Drosophila melanogaster: one gene and its partners. The protein of the gene in region 1 interacts with the protein of each later gene in a pairwise test. Each region holds a gene or a part of one and is shown in the gene's direction. Other genes may lie near its edges.

What was found. The genes of interacting proteins can lie anywhere in the genome.
Region 2: the proteins of CG17739 (region 1) and slv interact in a two-hybrid assay, tested with the Drosophila melanogaster proteins (one large-scale study listed by BioGRID).
Region 3: the proteins of CG17739 (region 1) and BomBc2 interact in a two-hybrid assay, tested with the Drosophila melanogaster proteins (one large-scale study listed by BioGRID).

The regions. Positions count from the first base shown.
Region 1 is NT_033778.4:12,304,868-12,310,967, forward strand, and holds CG17739 (uncharacterized protein), read left to right. Parts: upstream 1-1,660; 5' UTR 1,661-1,686; intron 1,687-2,411; 5' UTR 2,412-2,420; coding exon 2,421-2,598; intron 2,599-2,691; coding exon 2,692-3,080; intron 3,081-3,133; coding exon 3,134-3,595; intron 3,596-3,651; coding exon 3,652-3,823; intron 3,824-3,887; coding exon 3,888-4,009; intron 4,010-4,073; coding exon 4,074-5,372; 3' UTR 5,373-5,545; downstream 5,546-6,100. Other genes in the region: salto, read right to left, coding at 1-34, 98-258, 353-604, 662-1,004, 1,064-1,131, 1,195-1,231; CG30203 (uncharacterized protein), read left to right, coding at 5,858-6,023, 6,079-6,100.
Region 2 is NT_033778.4:8,080,027-8,084,980, reverse strand, and holds slv (saliva), read left to right. Parts: upstream 1-1,688; 5' UTR 1,689-1,706; exon of another isoform or gene 1,707-2,122; intron 2,123-2,687; 5' UTR 2,688-2,889; coding exon 2,890-2,966; intron 2,967-3,041; coding exon 3,042-3,119; intron 3,120-3,477; coding exon 3,478-3,707; intron 3,708-3,774; coding exon 3,775-3,950; intron 3,951-4,021; coding exon 4,022-4,141; 3' UTR 4,142-4,422; downstream 4,423-4,954. Other genes in the region: sut1 (sugar transporter 1), read right to left, coding at 129-289, 346-450, 1,596-1,688.
Region 3 is NT_033778.4:18,384,292-18,387,379, reverse strand, and holds BomBc2 (bomanin bicipital 2), read left to right. Parts: upstream 1-1,790; 5' UTR 1,791-1,808; coding exon 1,809-1,866; intron 1,867-1,921; coding exon 1,922-2,328; 3' UTR 2,329-2,541; downstream 2,542-3,088. Other genes in the region: BomS2 (bomanin short 2), read right to left, coding at 508-587, 650-707; BomS4 (bomanin short 4), read right to left, coding at 2,542-2,621, 2,686-2,743.

The DNA.
Region 1 (6,100 bases):
CGATCTCCTCGACGATTAAATTCATTTTTTCTTCCTGGAGACACAATAAAATAGTTTCACATTGCTAGTGCATCATAGCGGTTGCACAAAAACATACCACTAGGTTAGACAACTTTTTTTGAGTTTCCTCACGCTTTTCACTAGCCTCGAGATCATTTTTAGCCCTCTGAATTCTTGGTATATGGTCGTAGATTAACAAAACCCCCTGATCTACAATCGCACGACACCTGGTTTTCAAGTCATTCATACTTTCGGCGGCTAGAAAATAAAAGTATGCAATTGTAAGCGAAAGAAGGATAATTCAAGGATAACAATTCATTCAATCGAAGACGTAAAATCAAAACGAACTTACGAATACTCTTGGGCAATCGAAGTAGATCATCATGGTGGACCACAAGCTTGCATTCATCGTTTACAGTCAGACCCACAAACTTGAAGACCCCTTGATTCCGGAGCTCCGAACCCATTAACCGGATCTTGTGCATAAACTCGGACTGCAGGTTCTCCAGTTTTTTTTTCTGCGTATCAAAGACCCGCATCCGGTTCATCTCCAGGACACGGCGATGCGACATCTTTTCAGGCTTCTTTACATTTTGATAAGGTTCTGTGGACGGCAATAATCAGAGAATTGGACCACGTTTCAAATATTCGCGATACCCACCGCATGTCGTTGACTTAACCAATTGTGCTGACTGGGCATGCGTCTTTATGGGAACCACGTTCCGCTTGGGGGGATTCAACTCATCGATATCAGTTTTCCGATCGGGCTCAACTACTTTATGCTCGGGCTCGACCCGTCGATTGGGCAACGAATACGTACTGACACACGGGCGCGCTTTCGTCGAAGAAGTAACCCGTTCCAGAGAAGTTTTTCGCGAATGGATAGACGACCGACTCGCTCCACGCCTATTTGGAATGTGACTGAGCCTACCTTTGTTTGGGCTTCCGTCGCCATTCTGGGTGGGAGGAGTAGAGAAGACGCCACCACAAGAAGAAGTGCGAGACTGGGACGGGGATGTAAAGCATTTGAAAAAACTAAACCCTTTTCTTCTATCTCACTCACCCATGTAGCTTTGTCTGAGGCTTGCTTTTCCGCCTTTCCAGCTGTCCTCAGCAAGAATGCTTTGTTACCTAACAAGGATAACGAGCATTTGAAGCACACATTCGTATAGCGTTCAAGGTACATGTACTTACTACGAACTGAACGCGGCGTCACGCTGGAAGAATTCATATCTAAAGTTTCGGAAATCAACGCTTTTTTGTAAACGATTTTTGTGTTCAAAATGAGGAAAAAATAGTATAGAAAATTTGTTTCTAAATATTTCCAGTTGAACTACGTCTAGTGTAAATGGTACAAAAATGCTTTCTGACCAATCCAAACGAGGTGGTTCGTGGAAGTAACATGAATTCAAACTCAGAGCACACTTGTTCAGTTCCAATGTACCCGGTGTTTTTGGGGTCTGTTTGTTTAGAATGAGCGTATGAAAACTAATGGTTTCTATCAACAAATGCGAATCTGCAAAAGAAGCGGAAACTAAGCTAAATGGGAGGGAAAAGTAGAGAGCAGTTTTTCCCTCTCTGAGGTTCTCCATGTAATCCATTCGTCGGTCCCGAATGATGCACATCGTCCATCCAATAATCGACTCGGCGAAATTTGCATTCAGTTGCTGTTCGTGCGTCCACCGAGTAAGTTCTTAGTTCGGATTTCCCTCTAAAAGCATATATTTCGAGATTGTTTCATTTACGATCCATCAATACTGAGTAACAAGAGTATGAAAAAACAATCTGTACCACCTTGCTATTAGTTTATTTTCTCAAAATAACTTAATCAACTGGATTAACATACATGATGTGCTAGTGAAAGTGGGTGCTACAATATAAGTGCAGTACTGAGGTGAAGAAGCCCTAAAAGTGACTTTAATGATTTAGATCCATGGGAAATGGACGTTTGTCACCCCCTTGTATTCGAATTCGCTGTAGACAGTCGGCGCGTTTTTCAATTGAATTTAATCAGTGACGTAGACGGTCTATATAGTACAGACTATATATTGTATATACGCAATGCGATCCGATTTTCAAGGGGTAAACAACCAACAACCCGCCTAGTTCAAGTTCCGCATGGCAATTGAGCTGGCATAATTTGGATCTCAAAGGAAATGGAAAGTGTCTGCGAAAATAGCAATATGCACTATGTGTGACATCACGCAAAGTCATTCAATTGAAGGCTATTTCTACGAATTCAAGTTCAGTTTGAAACTGGAAGTAGGCTCCATTGGTTGCCATTGACATTCGATACCAATGCGGATAATTAAGACAATTAAGTGCTGGCCAGAAATAGTTTTTTCCCCCACAACCACGTGGCTGCATCAAATGATTGTAAATTTGTATTCCCACTCAATTTTGCATTGCAGCTCTTTGAAATGAAAGCTCTGGAAGGTTTCACTATTCTTCTCGCATTAGTGGGTGTTATTCCCCGGATCGAGGGCTGCATTAGGGTCCCACCGGGAGTCACAGCAGCCAAGTCACCGGTGGATGATAACTATGTGCTGTCCGTAAACGGAAATACGCAGAGTTATGTGCCCGGTCAAAGGTATAATGGTGAGTGCATTAAATTAAGCATTAAATTAAATTAAATTTACAAATTTCTAGATTTTTCTTTCAATTCTCTAATCTTTCGCTGCTCGTTTTCAGTTAGCCTCAGTGCATTTTCTGGCTTGTCCTTCATTAGCTTTATGCTGGCCCTGGATTTGGAGAGTGGTGACGGCGATGGTGACGCCAATGCCCTGGGCACCTGGGAGATCGCCGATCTCGCCGAGACCCGTTTCAGTCCGCGCTGCCCAAATCTTGTCGAGAATACCAACACGAACGTGAAGACACGCGTGGATGTGTTCTGGGTGGCTCCATCGAGTCCGGGACAGGGCTGCATCCTGCTGAGGGCTACGGTGATGCAGCATCGAGATGTGTGGTTCATGGATGATGGCTTCCTTACCAAGCGTATGTGCGAGGAGGAGGTGGACGACATTGACACCCAGCCCAGCATCGTGGATCCGTGCTGTGCCTGTGACGAGGCCAAATATGAGGTGGGACTCTTTTAACTCATTATTGAAATGGTATTAACACCTCCTTACTTCAGCTTACCTTCGAAGGCAAGTGGTCGCGTCACACACATCCCAAGGACTTTCCAGCGAATAGCTGGCGCACCAGATTCAGCGATATCATTGGTGCCTCGCACACACTGGACTACAGATTCTGGCAGTATGGAGAGCTGGCCAGCGAGGGGCTGCGTGAGGTGGCGGAGCATGGCTCCACAAGGACCTTGGAGAGTGAGCTGAAGGATCAGAGCGAACACATTCGCACGATCATCAAGGCAAGGGGCATTGCCTATCCGAATGTTACGGGCAAAACATTTGCCGTTTTTCGCGTCGACTCCAACCACCATTTGATCTCCCTCGTATCAATGGTGGATCCCTCTCCAGACTGGATCGTTGGTGTATCCGGCCTCGAGCTATGTCTGCCCAACTGTTCCTGGGTGGAGAACAAGGTGCACAACCTATATCCCTGGGATGCGGGCACCGATAGTGGTCCATCATATATGGTAAGACGATTTCCATGATTTAGTCTTCAGTAGAGTCAATCACGAATACTTTTCAGTCCGCTGACCAGCCACAGGTGCCTCCAGATGTTGTGCGCCGCATCAAATCAAATTTCCCCAACGATCCCCGTTCGCCCTTTTATGATCCCACTGGTGCCCAGATGAAGCCATTGGCCACCCTGCACATCAATCGAAGACGACTCTACGAAAAGAACTGCGAGTCCTCCGATTGTAAGTTAAATGCAACCATATATTGATGTTGTGAATATACATACTATATACTTTAATCCTGTAGCGGAACAGGTACCGCCGGAGTGCGCCACAAACTCGTGGTCCAGATGGGATGAATGCACCACAAAGTGCGGTCCCGGCAAGCAATACAGAATCCGAGAGTTCAAGAACCCTGCATTGGCTTCGGTAATTAAGACGACATATATAATTTGGATCCCATACTATATATACATTTTGACACCTACCTTAGCGTCATCGTTGCAACAATGCCCTGCGTGAGGAGAAGAACTGCGTGGGACACAAGTGCGCTGGCTTCAATGAGGAGACAGCTGAAGGCGGCGAGCCGGAGGTGGCGCCATCACCAGGTAGCAGCGACGATCCCCAGTGCGGTCTGTCTGACTGGTCGGAGTGGTCTTCGTGCACCGTGACTTGTGGAACCGGCGAAATGACCCGATCCCGACACTATCTAAACAAGAAGGCCAAGAAGAAGTGCCAGAAGGCAAGCAGGGCGCGTCTGCATGAGACCAAGATTTGCGAGGCAATGGAATGCGGTGGGGACATCGAGAACGAAGGTGGTGCTGGGGAACCGGAGGAGGAACAGGCCGGTGGCGACGGAGGTGGATCCGCTGAGAAACGCTCCATATTCCGCAACTTCGAGAGTTACAGTCAGCATCGGGAGGATTACATACCACCGGTTTGCGGGGTCACTCCATGGTCGGATTTCTCGCCGTGCATGGGGCCATGCGGTGGACATGGAAAGCGGCAACGTATTCGCAAGGTGTGGAATAACAACCAGGTGTACGGAGTAACGGATCCCAATGATGACGGCCAGGATCCCTGTCGACACATCAAGCTGCACGAGGAGGTGAACTGCACCAATCCTAGCTGCGATACCATTGTTCCCGGCTTCTGCTACGACGAGCTGACCGACAGTCCGTGTCGGGATAACGATGTGGCCAACTTCTGGTACTACGACCATGTGAGTGACCAGTGTGCCATCTATTGGTCGGATCGTTGTGATACAAATCGCAACAAATTCAAGTCGAAGGAGGAGTGCGAGGAGACATGTCGCCTGCCGCGCCACAAACAGGAACTGCAGCACGATGGCATTCCAGCCATTGATTGTCTCGTCTCTGACTGGGTTTCCCACAGTTGCAACGCCTCCTGCGGCGATGGCTTCCAATTGCGAACGCGTCGGGTGCTCCGTACTCCGAAGTATGGAGGCAAGCCATGTCCCAAGCACCTGGTACGTTTGGATCGCTGCTACCAGCGGTGCGATGACATGTACTCAATCAGTGGACGGGGATTTGGAGAGCGAAGGCATGTGGTAAGAGCTCCGCAACCGGAACCGCAGGACGAGTGTCGCTACTCGGAGTGGTCCGCCTGGACACCATGCACCGCCACGTGTGGCGATAATGCCGTTCGCCAACGAACCCGAACCCTAATGAACACCGATCTGAGCTACAAGTGCAAGGATCGCGTCCGCATGGAAAAGTGCGTGATGATGCCTTGCCAGCTGACCAGCAACGATGATCCAGAGCGGTGGTGAACATACCATTAACTGCTACAAGTATTAGTTCTAATCCAACTATGTAATCATTACCAATGGATATCGTTAAATATATGAAAAATTCCAGACTACCTACACTAGCTCTTCTCGCAACAGATTAAATATGTATTAAAAACAATAAAACAGAATTGTGTTCGCGTGGTAATTCCAATTCCGATTGAGTTTAACCTTGACCCAGTTCCATTAAGCAAACAGTGGCCAGTTTACGAGTGATTTTTCGCCGGGTTGCAAGTTCAAAGAACCCGGGCACAATTCATCAATTGAAAAGCTTGCCATAAAAACAAACCATTCCTAATTGAAGACAACTCAATCAAGATGCCATAAGCTGTCAACGCCGAGAGCGCCATTTAAGGGATAATTGATAAATTGGAAATGCTCATCAATTAATGGAGATGGCTAGCCATCAGTTTTGGTCAGTCGCCGTTGAGCCTCGACCCAGTACGGATCGCTAAGATTGAGAAGAGATGCTTCGCCATATCGTGCTCCTCATTCTGCTGTCTTCCGAAGTCAGAGGAGTCTGCAATCGGATACCCCAAGGTGCCAGTGGCCCTCGATCGCCTGTGGATGATAACTTTAAGATCCTTATCGATGGCAATCCAGAGACCTATGTGCCAGAACATCAGTACAATGGTGAGAGTCTCGAGTTGTCCTGAAGCTTTTACTTCAACATTATTATCATCATAAGTTTCGTTATCCTGTCCAATAAA
Region 2 (4,954 bases), 4.2 Mb from region 1:
TTTAGTTCAACGGAAGTTAAAACAAAACAAAAATGAATGGTTTATACAGATATGTGAATTGGCGGACTAGAAACACTTGAGGAAACCCAAGTGGCTTATCCTTATCGAATTGATTAATAGCTACATACCTGCCAAATTTATTGGCTGCTCCAGCTCCGCCCAGCGAACCGATGGCGCCTCCGACCAGGAACACAGAAACGACGCACGACCACAAGAGATCTAGACCGCCTGCGCTGAGGTTACTCCCGTAGGTGTCGTGCAGGGTCTGATTACACCAAACTTTCATCAGCTGTAAAGATATCGTTTGAATCGGTATTCCACTCGCTGTGGTTGTCCATATCTCACCTTCGAGGGGGCGTTGATAACGCCTATGCAGTAGCCGGTGGAAACGGCGCCGCCAAATGTGGTTGCCAGGGCCACCAGCAGCAGGAGGTTGCCCCATCGCGGTTTCTGCAAAGTTTTCCGATCACGATTAGTTACTTTGGAGCAATAGTTCCCCCTGGTTGTGCCCAAAATGCGAACCCTGATAGCGGTTTAGTGCGTCATTGTGCAGGGTCATTTCGGAATTCGAATGGGGGTTGCGTTATCAGCACTCTCTGATTAATTCCAGCTTTGTCATAATCGCAATAATTGGCGCTAATTACGGCTAAACTTGACCCACGGCCAAAACTTTCCATTTCTCAGCAGGAGCATTTGGGATCATATGCGATTAGGTCGCATACTATTTATAACCGAATGGAAGACCGCAGTCGGTGTTTCTGTATAACTGATAAGCAATGGCTGGGAACTCAGCCGAAGTGTATGTACTGGGAAATCAGTTTGTTTGCCAAAATAATGAAAACGATGCGGTACTAAGTACTTGTGTACCAAAAAGGTCAAAGTTACAGTACAAAACATGGTTGTAAAATAGAAAGCTTTTAAGCTAACACTATTAAATTATATTTACATAAAAAGTCATGTCTCCACCTTACTGTTACATAATATAATCTAGTTGAATAGTGAGAATCAAACTTCCTTCGTATCTAGTGACTTGTATCTTGTCACTAACATAGGCATTTGAAATTAGTAACTTCTTAATTGCGCCCAATTTTATGGATATATATGCATATAGGAAATATTTGAAAAATCCATAAAAGTATTTTTTTTTTCTATATACATGTACTATATATATGTACTTGTTTACATATATCGTGTCAACGTAGGCTCCACTGTAGGTGAATCGACCATATACTAATGCGTCGGTTGTATGTGTGCATGCACATAAATATTTTTTCGACTTTGAAAACAACTATGCATGACAGAAAATAAAATTAATACATAGAGGAGACGCATATAGCCGAGTAGATTTACATATAAAAACAAAAGAAAGAGCGAAATATTGAAAATAAAATGCGTAAGATAAAAGAGTGGGAAACAGCATCCGGACAGAGAGCGAAAAACAACGGGATCGAAAGAAGAAACAAAGAAAATGTGCATGTGCAGAGATACTGTCCACAGGAAAACAACAACAACAAGAACCACAAAACAGCGGTGGTAGGTAGAGGGAAAATTTGGCGATCTTCCCGCTCTCTCTCTCACCTGGAAAAGAGTCTCACCTGGCTGGGATCCGTCTGCGCCGAGAGCAGTTCCACTCTGTTGGGCTGCGGGTACAATTGTTGAGCCTCCGCCGGCTGGCTTTTGGTGGCCATAACAGTGGACTTTGCCTGGTAATCACCACTTTTTGAGGAAACACTTCCCAAGGCACTCGGAGCACACAGTTACGATGTGTGCGTGTTAACACGGTTAGAACAATTGTTAGCAATTGGTGGTAAGGCAGGTAATCGGGTTCCGAAACAGTGTTGTGCAACGGACACCGAGTGTGGATTCTTAGTTTGCGATCCCCCCAGCAGTTCGGAATTCTAAACCACAATTGTTTGTAAACGGCGCACCGCCAGCAGTGCACGCGGGATTGAGTTGGAATCAAAGCGGTACGGTGCGGCAGCGTTGGAGTCGGGAGCGCGACTGAATTTCCCCAGCTGAGCGATGTTGGTGGAGAAAAAGCTTTCGCCAAGAACGAATCGCCACCACAATAACGCTTTGGGTGCCGGCAACAGATAAGGAATAATAAATAAGTCAAGCCGAAGTAATAATACCCTTGTATACAATTCAACAAGTTTTCATCACCAACTAAACATTTTCCAGATTGCATAGAATTTTATATTTTAGCATGGTATTTAACGAAATGTAACTATAAAAGATTTCCAGAACTAAAAAAAAACACTTTAACACGATATTTTTAAAAGTCCCAAATATTTCCCAATAGCAACAGTTTCATAATATCCAACTCATTGCTAGAGTGTAAAAAGCTTCTTGCCGCTTTTGTTGCAAGAAATAGCCAAATTAAACTTTTTGGTAGCAAAGAAATATTGGCTAATAAAAAGAACACAATAACATCAAAACAGAAAATGTAATAGGAGAGTAAAACCTTTTATGGACTAACTTGTTTCCTTGTTCAGATTGTAAAAATTGGGCAGCGCTCCTTCCCGAATAATTTGAAAACTGCGCGTGCTGTATCGATAGAAAAGCAATCTTTTAGTTAGTGATGCAAAATCTTTTGTGACACCGAGCGCCAAAAAGGGAAAATGAAATTTGATGAGATTCTTGTTAAGGCTAAACAAGTAAACTGTCTACTTTAATTTATTTCACAGATACCAAAAAGATTTGCCGGTTAACAGTATACATTTTTAAATTCGTGAACTAAGCCCTTGCGTACGGGACCATCTCTAGTCGAAAGTGCCATCTCTACGCCCTCGACCAGCTGTTCAGCTTTTTGTTGACGTTGTAGTTGAAACCGCAGCGTCTTTAACCACCGTTTAGGTTTAGCATTAGTTACTAAGAAGATTGATCGCTATGTCGGCGGTGGCCTACGACTCACTGCTGTCAACGACGGCGGTGATCAGCACCGTCTTCCAGTTCCTCTCCGGCGCGTAAGTCATCCATAAACCAATGCAACTAGCATTGTCCAAAGTATCATCAACTGTTTAATTTCCTTATACTTGCAGCATGATATGCCGAAAGTACATCCAGAAGAAAAGCACGGGGGACTCTTCCGGAGTTCCCTTCATATGCGGATTCTTATCGTAAGTAGAAACTGCCGACTTGGCACAACTGAGATAAATTCGAATTGGTCGCGCTTGACGGGACTACTGGTTCTTAAAATAAGAAATTCATGCACTAGAGTTTAGAGACTTAGGATTGAACCATAGCTAATTATTCTAAGTTCCAGGTCTCTCAATGATATTAGATTTACATGCATATATTAGGAAAAAAGCCATTTTCATTCCAAAGTTCACGGATTTGGCATACAAAATCAATTAGATATTATACAGCATCCATATTTAAAGACACACATCGTGTGAACTTCGCCTGCTTGGCTGGCTAACACCCCTGTGTTGTTCGGCTTTTAACCAACTTAAATAATTGAAAATATTTGTACAGGTGCAGCTTTTGGTTGCGCTACGGTGTCTTAACCAACGAGCAGAGCATTGTGCTGGTCAACATCATCGGATCGACGCTCTTTCTGGTCTACACGCTGATCTACTATGTGTTTACCGTCAACAAACGTGCCTGTGTAAAGCAGTTTGGGTTTGTTCTGACTGTTCTGGTGGTGGTCATTGTCTACACCAATCGGCTGGAAGATCAGCGCGATCGAATGATACACGTCACAGGTACGAGCACGTTTTCGAATACACTTCGGCAATGTCAGGTTTGCTAAATTCCTGAATAAAATTTCAGGAATTGTGTGCTGCATCGTGACCGTGTGTTTCTTCGCCGCCCCGCTGGCTAGCTTGCTGCATGTGATACGGGCGAAGAACTCCGAGAGCCTTCCCCTGCCTCTGATAGCCACGTCCTTCGTGGTCAGCCTGCAGTGGCTTATCTACGGTATACTGATATCGGACTCATTTATCCAGGTGAACCACTTCCCACGACTCGCCAGCCAGACAGCGAATTACGACGGCGTTTGTTTGTTTTGCTTTTTCAGATTCCCAACTTTCTGGGCTGCATACTGTCGCTGCTGCAGTTGGGTCTGTTCGTCCTCTACCCGCCGCGAAGCTACTCCGGCCACGGCTACAAGCTGGTCGAACAGGCAGTGCCGTTTTAGGCAGCTAATCGGACCAAGCCACGCATTTCGCTTTGGCCTCCGAGCGTGCCGCACACAGGGTTTATACATACATGCTGCTTGCTTAGGCGCCAGGCTTATTTACTATAGACATACGTAAAAGTAAGCCTATATTTATTGTAAAGTATTTATTTAATCCCGAGGATTTGCCTCGAATATGCCGCTACTTACGTTGCCTTGCTGTTCGGTGGCGCCCATTTAATTGTACCCTTTAGAGCCCGTATTCCTAATAAACGAACACACGGGAAACGATTGAGTAACCGAAGTACTTGTTGATTTCAACTAATATAAGCACAAGGCCCGAATTCGATTCGGCACGGTCTGTACAGATTGAGTGCGGATTTCTGACTGGGAATTCTAATGAGTGAACCCGATGCACTTTGCTGGTCTGCGGTCATTGGTATCGATAAGCTGATATGCTGATATTCCGGGCCATAAACTGTTGAATTAAGCGACCGTATACTGCCTGTTTTGCACCTCTGATTTAATGAAAATGTTCGTGGGCGCGGGGGTGGGGGGTCTGATCAATGAAATCGGCTTGTCTTAATTCAATAATAGTGCTTATCGACCTGCGTGGAATTAGCCAGTAAACATGCAACCAGATATGGCGGTAATCTTTATTTGGCGCCCAGCATCGATAAGGTGGCATTTTTGGGGGGCGGAAATGATTAGGCGAGATCATAAATATTTTCTCTTACAGATTCAAATTTGAAGTGGAGAGACGGTTATCACTCGTGCGCTTACCAATACTGGCTTGATGGTTTTATGGGTATGTGCGCCGTAGTGAGCAACGGC
Region 3 (3,088 bases), 6.1 Mb from region 1:
TAATTATATAGTTTTCATCAAAAATAAAATTATAACATTATTTTTCGTCATTTAAGGCTATAGGAATTTAGAGTATAGTATATACAAATAAATTAAGAAAAGGTTAATATGCGTGCAACAGTGCGTATGAGTAATGTCCATCATAAGAGGCGTGCCTTTTGGAGCCTTTAGAAAGTTTTTTCAATAGCAAGTATTTAAAGATCATATTTAATATGTATATATACATATTTGTATATATTTGGCTTTAATTTGCATTGAAATTGTGTTAATCAAATGCTTTAGTGAACATTTCTTGTTTAGCTACTTGTTTATATTAGCTGCAAGGTATTAAAAATACGAAAATAGTTTTGTTTTTTCACCATTTTATTTGTAATTGGCGATGTATTTTTTACTACTAGTTTTCATTTTAGTACAAGAGTGAGAGTATAAATATGGTGCTTTGGATTTGAGGTAAGTTTTGGCCCATCTTCGAAATTAAGGCGAGTACTTTCCTACTTTCCTACTTTCCTACTTTCCACCGTGCACATTGCAGTATTTGCAGTCCCCGTTGATTACCACATTTCCTGGATCGGGCGACAGGGGAACAGCTGCGGAAGAAATAAATAATTTATAAAGTAATCAAATAGCTATAAAATATAGTATTACTAACCGTTGGCCAGAGCCAGCAGACCGAACACAAAGACGGTGACGACTGAGAAGAACTTCATATTGATTCTGGTTTGGTTGTTGTGGCTTTGATTTGCTAAATGCACAAGCAATCGATTGAATTCAACTGATGCTCTTGGCTAGTTCGATTGGATCTTATATAGCTCAGCCTGGAATCTTGGAGCAGCAAATGTGCATTGGTTGGACGGAGGCCACTGATAACCCCCATCGAATCGAAAGCGCTTGGGAAAACACAGAAAGTTGAGCGTTCAATAGCATTTGTTTTGCGTATTTAAATCTGGAAATTCCAGTCCCGTGTTTATGGGCGTGTTATGTGAACCAACAGGTAGAAGCTAAGATTGCTTTAATGTTCGAGAGAAAACCATTGGAGTTCTTAGAAGTATTCAAAATAGTTGCAGTTCAATATAGCTTTCAATCATTTGTCTTTCTTTATAAGAACTGAATAATTTGTTTTTTGTTTTGTTTACAAACAAAGTTTGTTGTTGTTTTTTACCTCGATTTGAAGCACATGCACCTGCAAAGTTTTGCATATATTTCAATATAGAAATGTGTTGTGCTCAGTGAAATTGAAACCGGCTTATAACATTTTGAATACAAAGTCTGCACGTGCTACAAATTAAATTAACACGTATACACTTGCATTCAAAAACGAGTTCATTAAACTTACTATTGAGTATGTTTTTAAATAATAATATTCTGTAGTAATCTTTTTAACAATTACTACAAAGAAAGCGTTATATTCTTCTTGTAACCATTAAATGAAATTTTATACGCAGTCAATATAATATTTAAAAAAAAGTTAGAACTCAGGGAATAATTAACTAAATCATGTTAGAATATGGTTAATCTATAATAAATAGCTGAAATAAAATTGCATCAGCCGCTTTGTAAATTGTATTGATTTTAAAAAAAAGATGATAATTTATTATATTTTGAAAAGCACTCATTTCCTTTAATCTCCTACACAGGCAACAGTCAATAGTTCAGCTTTGTTTTAAAACAAAGGTGTACTCAATTCCAGCCAGATCGGTTTTAAATTTGTATACATTATATATATAGATTATACAGATTATAAATCTCAGCTAATCGGCACGGCTATAAAAAGAAGGCGACGCCGATCAATCGGCTTAGAGGGAATCATAATGAAGAGCCTGACGTTATTGGCGCTTTTGATCTTGGCCACGTTGGCCTTTGTCCACGGTCGGTTTGAAGGCCAAAAGGTTTTAACTTGAATATTAACCGTTCTTCTACCTAGGTGGCAAGGTGACCATCAACGGCAAGTGCGTAAACTGCTCCCATGATCAAACGACTACCACCACGCACAAGCCAACAAGTGGAAAAGGAAGTGGAGGTAGGACGACAGCCCGGCCAAGCTCGAGATCATCTCCAGCCCGCGGTCGCCCATCATGGGATGACGATGATGATGATGACCTGACCGGTGACTGGGCACTGCATCAATCGGCTGGAGGAACTCAATACATTGGCAGGCGTTCGAAGCGTCAGTCACGCGGTGGTCAGTACATCGATTTGGGCGGATCTGGCGGAAGGGGTGGAGGCGGAGGATGGGCAGGATCTGGCATAACCACCATCGATTCCAGTGGCTATCCCGGCGGAACACTGGTGCGCAATAGTGATTGCGTCGGTTGCAATATTCGCGGATAAAGTCAATAAATTATTGAAACACTAAGAAATTATCTTTTTTTTAAAACGAAGATTGTTTAAACTTATGTGGTGGAGGAATCATCTGTAAACCAATATTCGAATTTTTTCTTATAGTCTCTATAAATGATTGCGATTTAAATACAATTTACAATATAGCTTTCATTTTATTACATTTTTATTATGATGCTAAATATAAGTTTTGATTAAAAATTTCTATTTGCCACCACGAACATTGCAATTCACACAGTCGCCATTGATGATAACATTTCCTGGATCGGGTGACAACGGAATAGCTGTTGAATAAGATGATTATTTACTTAAGTAATCAACTAATTAATCTTTGTAGGTTCTACACACCATTGGCCAAAGCCAGAAGACCAAGCACAAAGACAGTGACGATTGCAAAGAATCGCATATTGATTTTCAATTAATAGATCCGGTTTTATAAGCTGAACACACCGGACAAACGATCAACTACAACTGATGCTCTCGATTAAGGGAAACCGATCTTATATAGCAGATAGTCGGATCTAGGAGTGAATCAAGTGCCATATGAGATGAGAGCGATTGATTGATAGCTGCTGACAAAATATTTTTTTCGTGGGAAATATAGATTTACACTTTTTGTTTTGATTAATTCGAAAATACTAAAAATAAAAAACATCTTTTGTTTAGTTAGAAAGGAAATAGAATCCTCTATTTGTATGTATTTCTTTGATTTGCATTTTTAATTCTATGTATTATTCCAGTAAAAAATGGT